Arabidopsis thaliana: one gene and its partner. The protein of the gene in region 1 interacts with the protein of each later gene in a pairwise test. Each region holds a gene or a part of one and is shown on either strand. Other genes may lie near its edges.

Region 1 (9,370 bases):
TGTCATCGTATTTTTGCATTAGTTTGTGGAGAAGTTATAGACACCTTATCTAGAAGCTTTGAGTACTGACCTCTGTTAGGGTTTGCTCGTGGCAAATAGGATGAAATCCCAGCTTCTTGGTAACTTGAAGTTGTGGAAATCACGCAAATTTCTGAATTTGATATTTTAGAATCGATGTTTCTTCTCTCGTTTCTGTTTTAGATTTCCGTTTTTGCTAATTCTATAGTTTTTTTTTTTCTGCTACTTGTTTATCTTATAGTTCTGTCAAAATTTAATGATATAAATGTTTCACATTTTACCAAAAAAACATTAATACGGAATGAAAGATGTGCGAGTCCTCTTTTTAAGCCCACTAGAATATAATGGGCTATTTACTAACGAGCTTGTGTTGGTTGACGAACATGAGCAAGCCTCTACATGAGCAAGACAATATCAGTTCAATATATGGGCCAACGACAATTTAGGCATCCCGTATATTAAAGATGAGGATTTAACCCAAATCCTAGTTTTAAAGGTTGGATCGACTTAGTTTCGGACATGTTACTTGGAAGGGCCTGGCATGGTTACAACGACCCATCTACGCTCTTAAAATTTGTTATTGAAAAACACATAACAAAGCGAAAGTACATATAAAAGAATTATTTTGATTTATATAAAAGAATAGATATTACACCATATTGTCTCTATGTTCATCTCATCCCCAACAACAACAAGTGTCCACGTCAAAATGATAATAGTAGTAAATAACAAATATGAACGAGAAGAAGTAATTAAAATAAAACAGTAATAGAAAGCAGAGGATCCAAATCCACCAAACTCAAAAGCTCTCTAAGCCAAAACGACAGCGTATAAAGCTCCGGCAACAGCTGTTCCCACAAGGAAAGCTTTGTTAGCCCATGCGGCACTTGGTGCATCAGCAGCACCGTCTGGTCCTGGAGCTGGAGACGAAGTTGGAGTTAATCCAGCGGAAGGACCGGGAGCAGGAGCATCGGTCTGAGGAGGAGAAGCAACCGGGGATGTTGTTGGAGAAGTGGTAGGAGCTGGAGTTGGCTCGTTAACTGGAACAGGCGGTGAAGCAATTGGTGAAGGTGTTTCTGCTGTCACTGGAGGAAGCGCCGTTGGTGGAGGAGTAACGGTGGTTGGTGCTGGTGCAGGAGCTTGAGCGAGACATGAAGTGGCCAAGAAACCAAGAAAGATCAAAGCTTGCATTGCCTTAGAATTCATTTTTAGATTATCTCTTCTTTGTCTGAATCTTGAAACTCTCTCTGTTTAATGTTATAAACTCTTCTTTATTTTTGTTGATGGTGTAGAACAATGAGAGAAGAGAGCTCTATATATACGCGATGGTTGGGAAATAGTTAATAATTAATTATTGGTGTGACACTAATCATGCGAACCACATACAAAAATACAACATGGCTTAGCTTTTCAATGGCGGTTTAAAATAATTGTTGTCTTTTTTCTTTCTTAAACTTGACGTGTTTGAGTTTTTGAAGTTTTCTTGAAGAATCATCTACATGAAGGAGCACCAAACGGATACACAGATCTCTGCCACGTGTTTTCTCTTAACGATGTTAATTCTGAGATCAGTTAAGTATTGACACGTGTTATGTTTATATTGGTTTTTAGATATGATTTGACTCTGCGTAATTTGCTTTTTGGTTAACCGCGTTACAATGCCAGGCGTAAATTAACTTGAGTTTTGCCTAATGTTTCGTGGAAATAACGCGTTTACGAGTAAATAATTAACATTATACGAAAAATGGGTCATTATTTAAGTTCATATTCATATATAGTATGTCTATCAAAATTTTCAACTGTTAATTATTTTAGATGTATATTATAATCGTTTCTGTTGAAAAAAGTTATTTTATATGTTTCGTTGTAATGTGTTATCTGGACTGATTATACGAGCAAGGGCTGGCAAAAGCTGTCATATTTTCATGTTAATTAAATTAATAAATTAGTAGATCATTATAGTTATATTTATGGTTTTTATTTTGTTGCAATATTCTAGTGACAGATTACTTGGTGGCCATTATTGTTACAAACTTACAACGAAACAGTCAAGCAAACGCGCATTGTTCATATTCTACAGCTATATCATTATTACGGTGTGAAATGCTTCATTTCAATAAGAACCTACCTAACAATTATTTATATTCCTTGAATAATAAATTGTTAGACTCTTGCTTTGACCTTAATATGCATTGTATCAGTATCTTCTTCATAAGAAAATTATAAGTTGAAAACTTTTTTCCTGCCAGCTTTGACCAAATGAATATATTAAAAAGTTACCAATAAAGAAATTTTAATTAATTTGATTAGTAGTACAAGTTTGGACGAGGCCTTGGCAGGCCTCTCTTTCTAGCTTTTCGTGGATGTGGCCTAACCTCGTAACTTTTCGTATTTTATCAAGCCCAAAGTAGCTTTCCGTTATCACTTATATGAAAAAATCTAAGATCTAAGGGGAGTTATTGATTAGTATTTTAATTTATAATCTATATACATTAAAGAAAATAGAACATCTTGAAACCTCTAAATAAATACACCGTGCTTAAAAAACTTCACGAGATATTCAATTGATTTTTTTTTGTTTAGAATATTAAATAATCAATACTCCATTAGATGTCATTTACCCAAAAAAAAAAAAAAAAAACTCCATTAGATGTTATTATTGTAGATTGTACCAATAAACTCTGATATATAAGTCCAACAAAACTCCATTAGCAGTAGTGTTGGTAAGCTCCCCATATTCTTGGGCTTTAGTTTCAGAAGATTTCATGTTATCCGTCGGCTTAGTTTATGGAATTATCTTGTTAATCGCCACTTTTATATAATTTCATATATAATCTATCTTTTAGTGCAAAAAAAGTAAAAAAAATAATTTCAACGAAACTCAAGTTTGGAACCGCAATCCAATTATTTTAATCAAATCATTGACTACCGAAATATTTTTCCACCTTCAAACAATCTAAAAAGAAAAATAATTTTTTTGATCAATTCACCAACGTTATTTAGTTTATAAAACATGATAAAAGATCCTCCAAAAATATAAAACCTAGACTTTCCTTAAATTTTAAGAAGTGTACTTTTGTTCACTCAATTTATTATTTCTCTGCCAAATTCTCTATATTCTTCACACGTAATTACTATCTAGTTCTCGTCCATTTCCTTTATCATTTTCTCATTGTCTTGTAAATTGACCACTCTAATGATCTCTATTATTTCCTCTAGAATAGAGTATGATTTATCTCCAATCTATCACTCTATATATAGAGTAATCCTACAATTTTCTCTATTTTAAAGTAACATATAGAATGAGGATGGAGAGAATGTACTATATCATAGAGTTTTAGAGGACAAAATTAAAGTGGGATTGGAGATGCTAAGTATGTAAATTTGGTTCGGTTAGCTATCATAAGGGACCGAGTGCTATATGACAATGTATTATAGGTAAAAGAAGTGATATTGTCTCCTGTAGATTTAGTGTCCTTAACCGTTCATCAAATCTATGTGAATCTCAGTAGTAGGTAGTTGGGTGAAGAACGTGTGAAGTCTATACAACTCATATTACTCCTCAAACATTTTCTGATAATATATTGCATACATTGAACCTCTTTTTAAATTCAAAACATCAAAGGTATTGATCTTACATAGAAAAAAACATAGACTCTTATGTTCATGTCCCTATTGATCTTAGTCATACCTCATAATTGTCTAACAAAGAAAATCAAAGGTATCATAATTATCATCATATGTAATGTAGGGAACAAATCTGTATTTACTGGTATATATATATAACACAAAAAAAATTACCAAAGAAAAAAAAAGAGCAAAGGGAACGATACCATTAGTCCCAATACCAATCCTTGCAAAATTCAAACTCAAACAAACCGTTTATCTCACGCGCCGCCGTACTCGCCACGATCCGTCTTTGGAGACCAATTTATGGAGCCGCCGAAGGGAGATACCGTAGTGAAGACTGAGGTCCCGGTGAAGGATCCATCGCTAAGCGTCGTCGATTCGAAAACGAAGGGAGTCGAGGATGCGAACACTGAGATAGCCTTGTCCGATGAGGTTGAAATCGAGACGAAGGGAAGCGATTCGACACCGGTGAAAGCTCCGAGTCGAACATCGTCTGGATCGAAGAAATCTGTACATTGGAGCCCCGAATTGGTGTCTGGATCTCAGGAACCGGATCAGAAAGCTGCATCGTCTTCTTCGGCTGGATCTAATCCGTATATTGCTCGTTCTCCAGCTGAGACTTCAGATGCTTCGTTGAAAGGTAAGAGTGTTGTGATCGTAGCGGTGAGAATTGAGATTGTGTATTGTAGCCTTATTTACCTTTTTGTGGATCTCTCTCTGTGTCTGTGAATTGGATTCAGATACGATGGAGACTGTGAAAGGAGTGCTTGGTAGATGGGGAAAGAGGGTTGCAGAAGCAGCAAAGAAGACGGAGAGCCTTGCCGGGAACACATGGCAACACCGTAAGTTTTCGTTTTTTTTTAATATCAATTTGTAATCAAATTCAATGCTTAGAGTTCTGTGGAATCAAGAATTGTTCATAGGGTATTGTTAAAAGTAGCTTGTTCTACTCAAAGTCTACATTTTTTTAGAGAAACATAAAAGATTTTTTTTGCTGTATTATGGTTTTCTTCCTTTGTTGTATGTTGGTGTTTAGGTTAGTACTGGTTTTAGGATTGAGTAACTATCATCATATTCGATAGTGCTCAAGTGTATTTTTATGATCTTCAATTCTTTGATCTCTTTTCAACATGTTGTTGCTATAAAATGGGACGTTCTTACTGGCTTGTGTTGATAAATTTTCTTAATTACAAACAGAACACTCCCCTGAATTTCAGTCTTTAGGCAGTACATTAAAAGACAATGACCTTTGATCTTGTTGAGTTCTTGCTAAGAATAGTAAACGGACTATTTTAGTTATGGAATCATATTGTGTTGGAAGAAATATCTCGGTTTTTCTCAGGTTTATCTTCATAAATAGTTTAGAATCACAATTGTTCTACGTGGATCTCTTGCCTTCGATTTGTCTCCAGAACCAAGATTAATACCACATCTGCTCGGTATTAGAGGATGATCTTTTGATATTGTCAAGTTTGTGATCACAGTAATTAAAAAATCTCTGTCTTGGATTTGAACAAGAAGATTCTCCCAGTTTCAGTCTGTCAAACTTTGTAGCTTGACCCATGACAAGTGTTTATAAGAGAGTCGGAATAACCTTAAAGCTGTTTTTTCTCTGTGTGATGTTTGCAGTCAAGTTTTTAGTAGATTGTCTGGTAACAAATAAAATATCAGATTGAAATTAGGTGCTCTGGATTAGGTATTAGTTGCCATGTTACTTCTTTGGAACTTGGAATTTTAATGCCTTTGGTGAACATTAATCAAAAACGCCATTTGACGAATTAAGAGCTGGATATTAGTTTGACCTTCGGACATGGTCATTCGTGATGTAGTCTAAGTAGTAGGGAATTAGCTCCTAGTTTTGAGATCAAAAAGCCTTTTTGCGGACTGAAGAATTACCACTCTAATCAAGTGATGTTCTTGGTGGTTTGGTGAATGTTTGAGCAATGGAGGTGGAGGGAAAATGTCTGATGACTAGCTAAAACTATAGAAATTGGGGAATTAAGAAAGTTTACACGATTAAATTTATGTTTAGAGTGTTCATGTGTGAACTCTATAACTCATGTCTTCCTTGATTGGGTGTGTTTTAGTTGTCCGCTTCTCTAGCATATTCTATTCAGGATTCGTTTGAGTGATCTCTCTTACAATCTTCTACTTTAGTCAGTGAGAACTGCTCCAGTTTTTTTGTATTTCATATCATGTTTGAATCGATCTTCTATGTTTAGCATTGTTGGAATGGATGTTTGCGCTCAAATATAGTAGATCTTTTGTTAAAGAAGTGAAATATTGAATAGATGCTCCGGAACAGATAGAGTTGCTATATTGCTTTTAGGAACTTGGATTAGATAATACATTTGGATGAACATTAAAAAAAAAAGAAGAAACAGCCTTTGGTGAGTTAGGAGCTAGAACTGTGGATATGAGTTTCAGCTTGGGACATGGTCGTGTTATGGATAGAGATGAGTTCCTGGGTAAGTGTTTGAGTAATGGAGTTTGAGGGAAAATGTCTAATGCCTGCATTTACATAGTATGGACGTAAAGTTTGAATTTGGGTGACTGAGAAAAATAACATGATTCAATATACGTTTCAATTGTTTGTGTGTGAACTCGCAATTCATCTCTTCCTTGATTGGATGTGCTTTACTTGTTTGATTCGCTAGCATTTTCATTCAAGATCTATCTGATTGATATATCTTATAATCTTCTCTTTTTAATCAGTGAGAACTGCTCCGAGTTTTGCGGATGCTGCAATGGGAAGAATTGCACAGAGTACAAAGGTCTTTGCAGAAGGAGGATATGAGAAGATATTCCGACAAACCTTTGAGACAGATCCCGAAGAACAGTTGCTAAATTCTTTTGCATGTTACTTGTCAACATCAGCTGGCCCAGTTATGGGAGTTCTATATATATCCAGTGCCAAACTTGCTTACTGTAGTGACAACCCTCTCTCCTATAAAAACGGTGATCAAACCGAATGGAGCTATTACAAGGTAATGTGTCCTACACCTTTCATTTCAGAATTATAGCCATTTTGAAGACACCATATTATTACTTTTGTGATCATTAACTGTTCGAAATCTGTTGGCTGGTTATCTGGTCAATGCTTGAGACAATGTTTCGTTATAATTTGTTAGTAGCATCAACTAAGGAGCCTTCGTAGAGTGATTCATTTGGATAGAAAAATAATCTGGACTTGTTAACGGAATCATAAATCCATGGACTTTTTTTTTGTGATAGTAATAACATGATTGCATCAGCTTCTCATCTCTTGTTTCATCGAAACCAATCCGATACGATTGCATTTGCTTATTCATTGTAATAAGCTTTGCTACATTGATGATTGATGAACACTTTGTGTCTTCTTCTTAAATAGGTAGTAATTCCATTACATCAACTTAAAGCAGTGAATCCATCAGCGAGCATAGTCAATCCTGCAGAGAAGTACATACAGGTGATTTCGGTAGACAATCATGAGTTTTGGTTCATGGGTTTTTTAAACTACGACGGCGCTGTCACGTCTCTGCAAGATTCTTTGCAAGCCGGTGCTTTAAGGTCGGTGTGATACATAACTGGATGACTGATGACCATAAAAGCATGTTGATCTCCACCTCTTCTTGCTTAGTCATATCAGAAGACTCAAATTTTTACATTATTTTGCATTTAATCTCAATATCCTATTTACTACAGAAACTAGCTGAATTTTACAAATTTACTTTAAAATGTTTTATCTTTTGATATTTTTATGAGAAGACAGCTTAATTGCAATTTATTCAATAGCAGTTGCTTTTAGTTTCTATGTTGAAGAACTCTGAGGTAGTAGGATCAACAAATGTGAATTCAACACGTCCCAGGGACAACGGACTATTAGAACCGATTCAAATTGCTTCCACCAGTGACAACTGAAAAATATACCGAACCAGTAGATCTAAGAAACGAAATTTACTCGCACCCATGTACGAAATTGCCGCACAACTTTTGATATTTACTAATTTGCCCCAATAAAGTTCAAAATACACAACTCCTTTGACTTCTGCAAAGCATCAGCTCGAAAAGTATTTTTTTTTTTGTGTTAAAGGGTTTATCAGCTCGAAAAGTATTTCATTATCTTTTCATCGAATCAGATTCAACTTACGAATTATAAGAGCATCTGATTAGGATTTATTCCAAAGATCACTAACTAAATTCGAAATTTATTCACAGAAGTTCTAGTCACTAATTTTGTTGAAGACGATTTTTACATATTTAGAGGCGTGATAAATATTACAGACAAAAAATGAAGTTAGATTTTGTTTCGTACTTCTTCGTTAATCTAAAGAGCCAAAGTACTGTGATCTAACACTGTCGTTGTGTTTTTTTTGTTTTGTAAATTTGGCAAAAACTCCCTCCAAAAAAAAACTTAGTTGACTGAGAAAACTAAGCAAAAAGATCTCCGATCGGAATCTTCTTATTCGCCATGGATGCTCTTTCTCAGGCGATCAGTTCCGGGATCTCCGTTCCTTACAAGAACAATTCTTCTTCTCTCGTTCCTTCTCACGGACTCACCTCCTTAATCCTCCGGAAATCGAGATCTCCGGTGAATCCCTCATCACGATCTCGCGTCTCGGTGCGAGCTTCGGAGATTCAACACAGCAAAACCTCAGCTTCATCGATCGATCTCAGCGATCCAGATTGGAAATTAAAGTATGAGAAAGATTTCGAGCAACGATTCAGCATACCTCACATCACTGATGTCTTACCTGATGCTGAAGCCATTCGTTCAACGTTTTGTCTTAAGATGAGGTCAGATCACTACTTTAGCTTGAGGTACCAGATTCTGGGTTTTGGAAAATCTATTAAATTGGAGTTTTGATAATTTAGGTCTCCGACGGAAGATTTTGTTGGTGGTTACCCTTCTGATGAAGAATGGCATGGATACATTAATAACAATGATAGAGTTCTTCTCAAGGTTTAACTTCAGATTTTTATTTTTATTTTACTGAACTTTGTAAGATTGATTTGGCTTGTTTTGGAAATTAGGTTATTAGTTACTCCTCACCTACTTCTGCTGGAGCTGAGTGCCTTGATCATGACTGTTCTTGGGTTGAACAATGGTAAACATTTGGACTTTCTTTGAGTTTGGATTTGTGGTTCTTTTTTGGTTTTTGGTTATAATTGGTGTGATGGGATCTTTAGGATTCACCGTGCTGGTCCGAGGGAGAAGATATACTTCAGGCCGGAAGAAGTGAAAGCTGCGATTATCACTTGTGGTGGCCTTTGCCCTGGTCTCAATGATGTCATCAGACATGTGAGTTTGTATCTGAAACTTTGGCATTATAGAAACAGTGTGTGTGTGTGTGTGAAGTCCTACTAAAGACCTTTGATTGTTGTGTTGTATGGATACATTGCAGATTGTCATTACTCTTGAGATTTATGGTGTTAAGAACATTGTGGGGATTCCTTTCGGTTATCGAGGCTTCTCTGATAAAGATCTAACTGAAATGCCGGTATTGTTCGATTGTGCTCTTTCGAGAAAAAGGAACCCGAATCTCTGTTTCTGTTTTGGCTTATGGTTTGCTTTTTTGTGCTTTCAGTTATCAAGGAAAGTGGTTCAGAATATTCATTTATCTGGAGGAAGTTTGCTTGGAGTTTCACGTGGAGGCCCGAGTGTGAGTGAAATTGTCGACAGCATGGAGGTATCATTTAGTTTTTTTCAGTCCTTAAGGAACTTTATGAGATCACAGATTCT
Region 2 (7,868 bases), on another chromosome or scaffold:
ATGGAGCAGGTCAATGAGAACATGATTCCTTAAGTCTTGCAAAATATTCTATAATGTGATGTTTTAATGCAAGTAATACCAATAATGTATGTTGTTTATCCTTTCTTTCAGATTATCCTGTCTATCACACTGCATTTGACTCCTATGATTGGATGATCCACAACGCAGATCCATTGTTTCACCGTCATGTTGCTAGTAAAGATTTCACTTCTCTCTTTTGATCTATTATTATCTTTTAGTTATTTGTTCTGTTTTTCATGGATGTTATGAAGAGAATTCACTCTCTCTTCTTTGCTTTCTATATTTATCAGTGGCTGGAATTTGGGGACTTTTAGGAATTCTCTTGGCTGATGAGCCACTCATACCATTCGATTACATCTCTTATGCAGACCAATTGCAGGTAGATTTCTTTTACTCACACCTTTTATACGTAGAATAGTAGGAAAACTGAGTTTATGTTTTGTGTAATGATTCAGGCACATAGAGATAAACTGAGCAAGCTCTTAGAAGGGAAAGTCTCTGTAAATCCCTTAAGCATGGCGATACAAGAGTTCTCTTTGGTTGCCAAAGAAGCCGCAGATGAAGCAAAGGTTTCTAATGGTTTTGCTAATTAACGTATAACCTCAATCTTTTGCTTCTTTGTCTCACCTATACATGTTTTGGTGATTGATTTGCAGAAGTTAAAGGGAAAATCATATAGCAAAAATGATGTAGCAGCAGCGGCGAAGAGAAGAGAGCTAAATGACAGGTTGATGCTTGTAGAAAGAGGGTTTTTGGATGCAGAAGGGATCAAAGGGAAGGAATGGTTCAAGCATCTTGTGAGTAAAACTTTTTTATTCAGTCAGATTTTCACCAATTTTGCAAACCTCATGAGACCTTGTTTGTGTTTTATGCATAGGTGTATGGACCGGCGGCTGAGCCAGAGAGCAAGCTAGGATTCTTCCCGGGAATAGCAGATGCCATTGCGATGAACGCATCAGAGGGAATAATTGAGCACGAGATATGGAGAGTCGCAAGAGCGATTCAGAGAGCAAGCAAAGCTCTTAAAGGAGGTTTCACATGAGAAAATCTGAAAGAGTTCTCTTTTGTGTATATATTGTGACTATAGATTGTAGAAGAATAACGTCTTATGAACTAATTTTCATAACCATTTATGAAACAAACACTATAATCTAATCATATTCAAGACTAACATTTTTTTTTAATTCTTTTTTTGGGTTAATAAAACTAATTTATACTGTAACCTTGGGTATGATATCAACATCTTAAACATCATTGCAAAGGACAAATACTTTCTTCGAGTAATATAGAAAGAAAGAACAATCACTATCTTTATTTTTAGAGTATGCTTTTCGGTTTCAAATGTTTAATCCTTTTAACAATCTAATTATTTTAAGATGAGCTAGAATCTTTTCTTTCAAAAGTGTATGGTTCATTTACCTTTACATTCAAACACTTCTCAATCTATCTTCTAAGATGTCATATGATTGGAGAGTGATGACTGTGTTTCCCTTTGGTTTTGTTCTTTTGCTTTAGTACTACTCTTTTCAAAATTTGTCGATTCGACGAAGACCTAGCGAATCTTGTTCCTTTGCCAAACCTTATTCTCAATCTGAGTCTTACACATTTTTCTCTGTAGCAAGAGCTTCTTAAATTGGTATCCACAGACCACAGTTAACAACAAATACAGTTCTTCTGCATGTAGTAGAATTAATAATCATCAAATGGTGTTTTGTCTCCTGATTATTCTCGAATTATGTAAAACGAATGTTACAAGTTTATAGGTTGGACCAGCTTAGAAAGAAGATATTTGTGAAGAATAATGATAACTGAATTGGTGAAGAGGATGAAAACACAAAAAAAAGTTTCAGTTTTATGGTTTTTCAGTAGATAAGTGAAATGTCATGTGAAGTTGCTTCTTCAAGTCTTGCACGTACTGTTTCGGCAGTCGACATTTTATTGATGCTGCAAAAAGCAAAAGATATACCAGTATTAGAGCCTCAAGAAGCAAATTAGATATTTTCAATACAAAATGTATTTTTTTGTTTCATTTGTGAAACTTAGAGCCAAATAAAGAAAATCATAATCATTTTTGGTGGAACATACTCACCGAACAAGAAGATCCCCAGAAGATGCTTTTGTTTCAGATATCCAATCCGGGACCAATTGCAACATCAGACTTAATTGTTCTTCCACTTCCCCTGGCAATGCAAGTAAGAAAGAAACTGTGAGCCTGTCAAGGAAGAAAAGGCAGGGAAATTATCAAACATTCAATATTAACTGTCCCTACTTCTATCAGTTATATTGATTTGGTTTGCAATAATCTTGTAAAGAAGCTCCTCCTTCGTGATGACTGTCCGATTTGTTGAGTGAAACACTCTATGAATCAAATTAACAAGCTGTGGCAAATTGTGCTTCTCGGGTTCAGTCTTTGGTCTCTCTATCATCTGCAAGACACAAACACACACACAATGGTAAGTAAGGATGTCTGTTTGCAACTGAAAACGAATATATCCGGAAACAATGTGAAAGCAAAATTGTTGCAGGAAAAAGCATCACTTACTGACTGAAGGAGGCTATCATCATCAGAAGCATTATCACCTTCATAGTTGCTTTTTTCATCACCAGATTCGTTACTAATGTCATCTTTCACAATTGTTTCTTCCTCAAGAGTGTCAAAATTCAAACTGCGAGATGGACCTTTTACTGACTGGAGAAGGCCATCTTCTTCATAGTTGATTCCTTTATCATCAGATTCGTTACCAATATCATCTTTCTCAATTGCATCTTCCTCAAAAGTATCAAAATTCAGACTGCGAGATGGACCCCTTGCTAGACTATTTGTTGATCTAAGAGAGTTATCATCACCACCCTCTGGAGTCAACTCAATACATCTTTTAGATAGCTGCAACGTCGGTGTAGCACTCATGAGCCGGATTGGCGTGGACAAGTCTTTGGAGGGAGTGGATAAATCTTTGACTGGGGTTTCAACTATTCTTGATTCTATGTGTGACAAAGTAGAATCAGGAATGACTTTGTTAACATCTTGTTCTTCTTGCTCTATCTCCTCCATATGAACATCAAACCCTCCAACTTCAAGTTTAGGTTCTCCTAAGCCTACGCTTACTATACCTGAATAACTATCCCTTTGAGGAGAATTGAATGGTTCAGGAAGCAGTTCTTTCGGAATTTCGTCCTGCATACAGAAAACAATAGATGGAGAATCCATCAGATATAAAAGCATTATTCAAAAAGCTACAACTAATTAATAGATTAGATAAGCCTAATAATGTACCTTAGGATGAGCTTTGCGAAAATCTACAAGCTTTGAGTGAAACACCTTTCTAAGTTCCATGTATTTAGTTCCACAAATGGTATCCTCAACTACAATTGCATCGGTATTTAATTTAATATGAAGCCTAGGTTTCATACAACAAGTGTCTTCAACAAACTTCAAAACTCTCTTTAGTTCAATAGCTTCCGGATAAATATGCTTCATCTGAGCCAAATGATCATACGAGAAGATCCTGTAGACCCAAACAACATTAAGCAAATACAATCAAACAACACACACACACACACGATTGATCATATGCATCAAAAAGTTTAATCCTTTAAACTCTCAAGATTCAACAGAATCCGTTTAAACAAGAAGCGTGAAAGTCAATGACTTTACCGATTAGTAAGATACTCGATCTTGGGACATATATTAGCGTATGTCGTTGACGAACCCTTTAATTTAAGCAGCCTAATTGCAGTATCCAAACCATTGAAAAATTCCTCCAAAATCTCGAACCTGTAATGCCAATAAAAAAATCAACAAAATTGAAAGAATAGTCCAAATTTGAGAAAAGTGTATGAACAAATCAATCAATCAATCTCACCTTTCGGGCAATTTTATAACAGATTCAGGTTTTGGGGACGAAGAAAAGATCTGCCTTTTAACGGTTTTGATAGGAGTCTTGGTAGAAAATAGTGACTCGGAAACCATAACTGGCTTCTCTGAATCAATTTTAGACGACGAGCTCATTGCTGAAAAGAGAGATTAGGGAAGTGATGTGAAGTTAGAGAGCGTAACGGCTAATAGAAATTAGGGTTTTGAGCTCTCATTAAAGGAAGGGTCAAGAGGTGGAAGAAGAAGAAGGCAATCTATAGCTGTGGGCCCATATTTGCCACGTCACTCAAACCGATTCTAAACGTTGGTTCCCGCTATTTTTCTTAACCATAAATTGGTACTACGTCGTTTTATGAACGATCAAAGAAAAAAAAACAATTTGTATTCCTATTGATAGAAGATTTTGTGTCAAATAACACTGAATTTTTAAAGTGTTAAAGTTTTTTTACATTTTTATTTTAAATTTCACTGAATTTATTTATTATTTTGTCATCATTTTCTTCTTTAGTTTATAATATGAATTTTACTATATTTACAAATACTTCTGGGAAATTCAACGTTTTTAAAAAACGGTTATACAAAATAATGTATGTAAGAAAACACAGAAGACTGGGGTTAAAACGAATCAATTTCCAATTTTCTACTCTTTATGGCAAAATAATATCTTGCAAATTCTGCACTTATTACCAAAAAAATAAAAATAACAGCTCATCATGTGTCTGAAGTCTGAATCTTATTTTTTCCCCAAAGAATATTCGAAATTATTACTTAAAAACGACTTCTTGTAACCGTAAGTCTTAAGAATTCGAATAGACAGTAAAACAATTTCCAAAACAGAAAAAAAATTAACAGCAAAACAGAACCAATAGTGTCTCCTAAAAGAAGTAAAAATAAGGTGGAGGAGAAGTAGTCAAATAGAAGAAATAAAAGCGACGTCGTTGTCAGAAGAATATACCACAAGAATATGTCAAAACAAAAACAGAAATATGATTACGTATAAGTAGCCGTTCCCGACGCTGCCTCTTTTTCATTTTCACAACACCATTTCTTCTTTCTTTCTCTCTTACAGTTTCTGAAGAAACAACAAACAAACAAACTAATACTCTTCTCTTCTTCTTCTTTTTTCTTTCTTTAAGACAATCCCATATTAGAGATTGTTTGCGAGAAAGTAAGCAAAAAAACAAAAAAAACTTTCTGTAAGTTAATGTCTTCTTCATAACTATGTGCTATTGAATCTTTTATTAACTTTTATTATGACTTGTTGTTGAATGAGAAATGAGGTTATGCAAGCGTCTGGTTAGTGTTGTTTATAAATTATATAGCTTTTGTGTCTGTTGTGTAGCATGTGTTTGTGTTATGTCTATTAAATAGAGTAGTTTCCTAAGAAACATTTTCTATGATACCTGATCAATGTTTTGATAGACGACAATATGTATGTGGAAGCTAAAACTCAAATCGTCTTTTACAAAATTGTTCAGTAAACTATGATTATACAGCTTTTTTGTTGTTGAAGTTCTGAGATTGAAACTTAATTCGTTTACAACTTTCTTTCTTGGATCAGTTTATTTTGGCACATTCTTGGAACAAAAACAAGATAAGTGGTCTGAAATATTTTGTGATTTAAAGGAAAGTTTTGACTGTCATTGAACTGTACATTATGGAATATGATCAAATCTTTTGTCGGTGTGCGTCACCATCTTACTTCGTGTCCCGTTTTTCATTTCCCACGCGTCAAGTCAACCTTTACAAATACTTACGCCAAAAAGATATAAAAATTGATGAATTTGACGAGTTTTTAAACCTTTTTGATGATTATAGATTAAAATTTTACTATAGTTTATTTTCTGCATATAAAACGTGTCTGAAACCAGCTTATGTATATGAATTTGATACTGATTACTTAATATGTGTTACTTAATATTAACGCAGAGGAAAAGAGAAAGAGAGCAATGGCAGGAGATCAACTAAACGTGCTAAACGCACTCGACGTCGCCAAAACGCAATGGTACCATTTCACGGCGATTATAATCGCCGGAATGGGATTCTTCACCGACGCTTACGACCTTTTTTGTATCTCACTCGTCACAAAGCTTCTTGGCCGTATTTACTATCACGTGGACGGCTCAGAGAAGCCAGGAACGCTGCCACCAAACGTCTCAGCCGCTGTTAATGGAGTCGCCTTCTGCGGTACACTCGCAGGCCAGCTCTTCTTTGGCTGGCTCGGTGACAAGCTTGGGAGGAAAAAAGTTTACGGTATGACCCTCATGGTCATGGTTCTTTGTTCCATCGCTTCGGGTCTATCCTTTGGGAGTAACCCAAAAACAGTGATGACTACACTATGTTTCTTCCGGTTCTGGCTTGGTTTCGGCATTGGTGGTGATTATCCGTTATCCGCCACGATTATGTCTGAATACGCTAATAAAAAGACCCGTGGTGCGTTTATAGCCGCCGTTTTTGCTATGCAAGGGTTTGGAATCTTGACCGGGGGGATTTTTGCCATCATCGTGTCTGCCGCTTTCGAGGCTAAATTTCCAGCTCCAACCTATCAAATAGATGCCTTGGCATCCACGGTTCCTCAGGCGGATTATGTGTGGCGGATCATACTGATGGTGGGTGCTTTGCCTGCAGCGATGACGTATTACTCAAGGTCCAAGATGCCTGAGACTGCCCGGTACACGGCTCTTGTGGCCAAGGACGCGAAACTAGCGGCTTCAAACATGTCTAAGGTTTTGCAAGTGGAGATCGAAGCAGAGCAGCAGGGAACTGAAGATAAGTCCAATTCCTTTGGCTTGTTTTCCAAGGAATTCATGAAACGCCATGGCCTTCATTTGCTAGGAACTACAAGCACATGGTTCCTACTCGACATCGCCTTCTACAGTCAGAACCTATTCCAGAAAGATATTTTCAGCGCAATCGGATGGATCCCTCCGGCTCAGACAATGAACGCAATTCAAGAGGTTTTCAAGATTGCACGTGCACAAACCCTAATCGCCTTGTGTAGCACGGTACCTGGTTACTGGTTCACAGTGGCCTTTATTGACGTCATTGGTAGATTTGCGATACAGATGATGGGTTTCTTCTTTATGACCGTCTTTATGTTCGCTCTCGCCATTCCTTACGACCATTGGACTCACAAGGAGAACAGAATCGGATTCGTTGCTATGTACTCTCTAACATTCTTCTTCGCCAACTTTGGACCTAATGCAACAACTTTCGTTGTGCCCGCTGAGATCTTCCCGGCTAGGTTTAGATCAACCTGCCATGGAATTTCCGCGGCTTCTGGAAAATTAGGAGCAATGGTTGGTGCGTTTGGGTTCTTGTACTTAGCACAAAGTCCTGACAAGACCAAGACAGAGCATGGATATCCTCCAGGTATTGGAGTCAAGAACTCCCTCATTGTTTTGGGTGTGGTTAATCTTTTGGGGATGGTTTTTACACTGTTGGTTCCTGAATCTAAAGGCAAGTCTCTCGAGGAAATGTCCGGTGAGAACGAACAAAATGATGAAAGCAGCAGCAGCAGCAACAACAACAGTAACAACGCAGTGTCAACTGCATAGAGAATTCTAAAAGATTTTGTTTTTTACTCTTGTATCTTTGTTTTCTATGTATTTCTTCAGGTTTCTTCTCACTAGCAACTTAAGTTCTCTCTATGTTTACTTATTATTGATCGTTAAATGCAATAGGATCTGATTCTTTTTACATATAGAACCGCTTTTCTTCTGTTCATTGTGACAAACGACAATGGGTTAATGGAAAGGTATTATGATGTAACTGTGTTTTTCTTTGTCATCACTGAACTAAAGAAGAATTGTTTGAATCATACATCCATTTGTAACAACACAAATCCAAAACTGCATTGTTTCTGCTTCTTCAGCGAAATTTTGTTCAATCAAAAGCAAAAAATGCGTTTTCTTTTTCTAGAAATGGTTCTATGAGCAGTGACATTATGAAAGATGCTGCAGGTAGGTTTTGA

Evidence for each region. The genes of interacting proteins can lie anywhere in the genome.
Region 2: the proteins of GEM (region 1) and CDT1B interact in a two-hybrid assay, tested with the Arabidopsis thaliana proteins (one study listed by BioGRID).

What each region holds. Positions count from the first base shown.
Region 1 is NC_003071.7:9,537,572-9,546,941, forward strand, and holds GEM (GRAM domain family protein), read left to right. Parts: upstream 1-3,556; 5' UTR 3,557-3,951; coding exon 3,952-4,288; intron 4,289-4,388; coding exon 4,389-4,490; intron 4,491-6,363; coding exon 6,364-6,635; coding exon of another isoform or gene 6,636-6,671; exon of another isoform or gene 6,672-7,018; coding exon 7,019-7,207; 3' UTR 7,208-7,467; downstream 7,468-9,370. Other genes in the region: AGP2 (arabinogalactan protein 2), read right to left, coding at 829-1,224; PFK5 (phosphofructokinase 5), read left to right, coding at 8,099-8,424, 8,503-8,590, 8,662-8,735, 8,818-8,929, 9,033-9,128, 9,216-9,317.
Region 2 is NC_003074.8:20,248,047-20,255,914, reverse strand, and holds CDT1B (CDT1-like protein B), read right to left. Parts: upstream 4,104-7,868; 5' UTR 4,031-4,103; coding exon 3,885-4,030; intron 3,797-3,884; coding exon 3,677-3,796; intron 3,528-3,676; coding exon 3,296-3,527; intron 3,197-3,295; coding exon 2,564-3,196; intron 2,448-2,563; coding exon 2,291-2,447; intron 2,202-2,290; coding exon 2,111-2,201; intron 1,966-2,110; coding exon 1,884-1,965; 3' UTR 1,592-1,883; downstream 1-1,591. Other genes in the region: AMP1 (Peptidase M28 family protein), read left to right, coding at 1-9, 112-195, 312-400, 477-590, 678-818, 899-1,063; PHT1;7 (phosphate transporter 1;7), read left to right, coding at 5,845-7,452. UniProt on the Arabidopsis thaliana protein: Member of the pre-replication complex. Regulates endoreduplication. Involved in the coordination of cell and plastid division.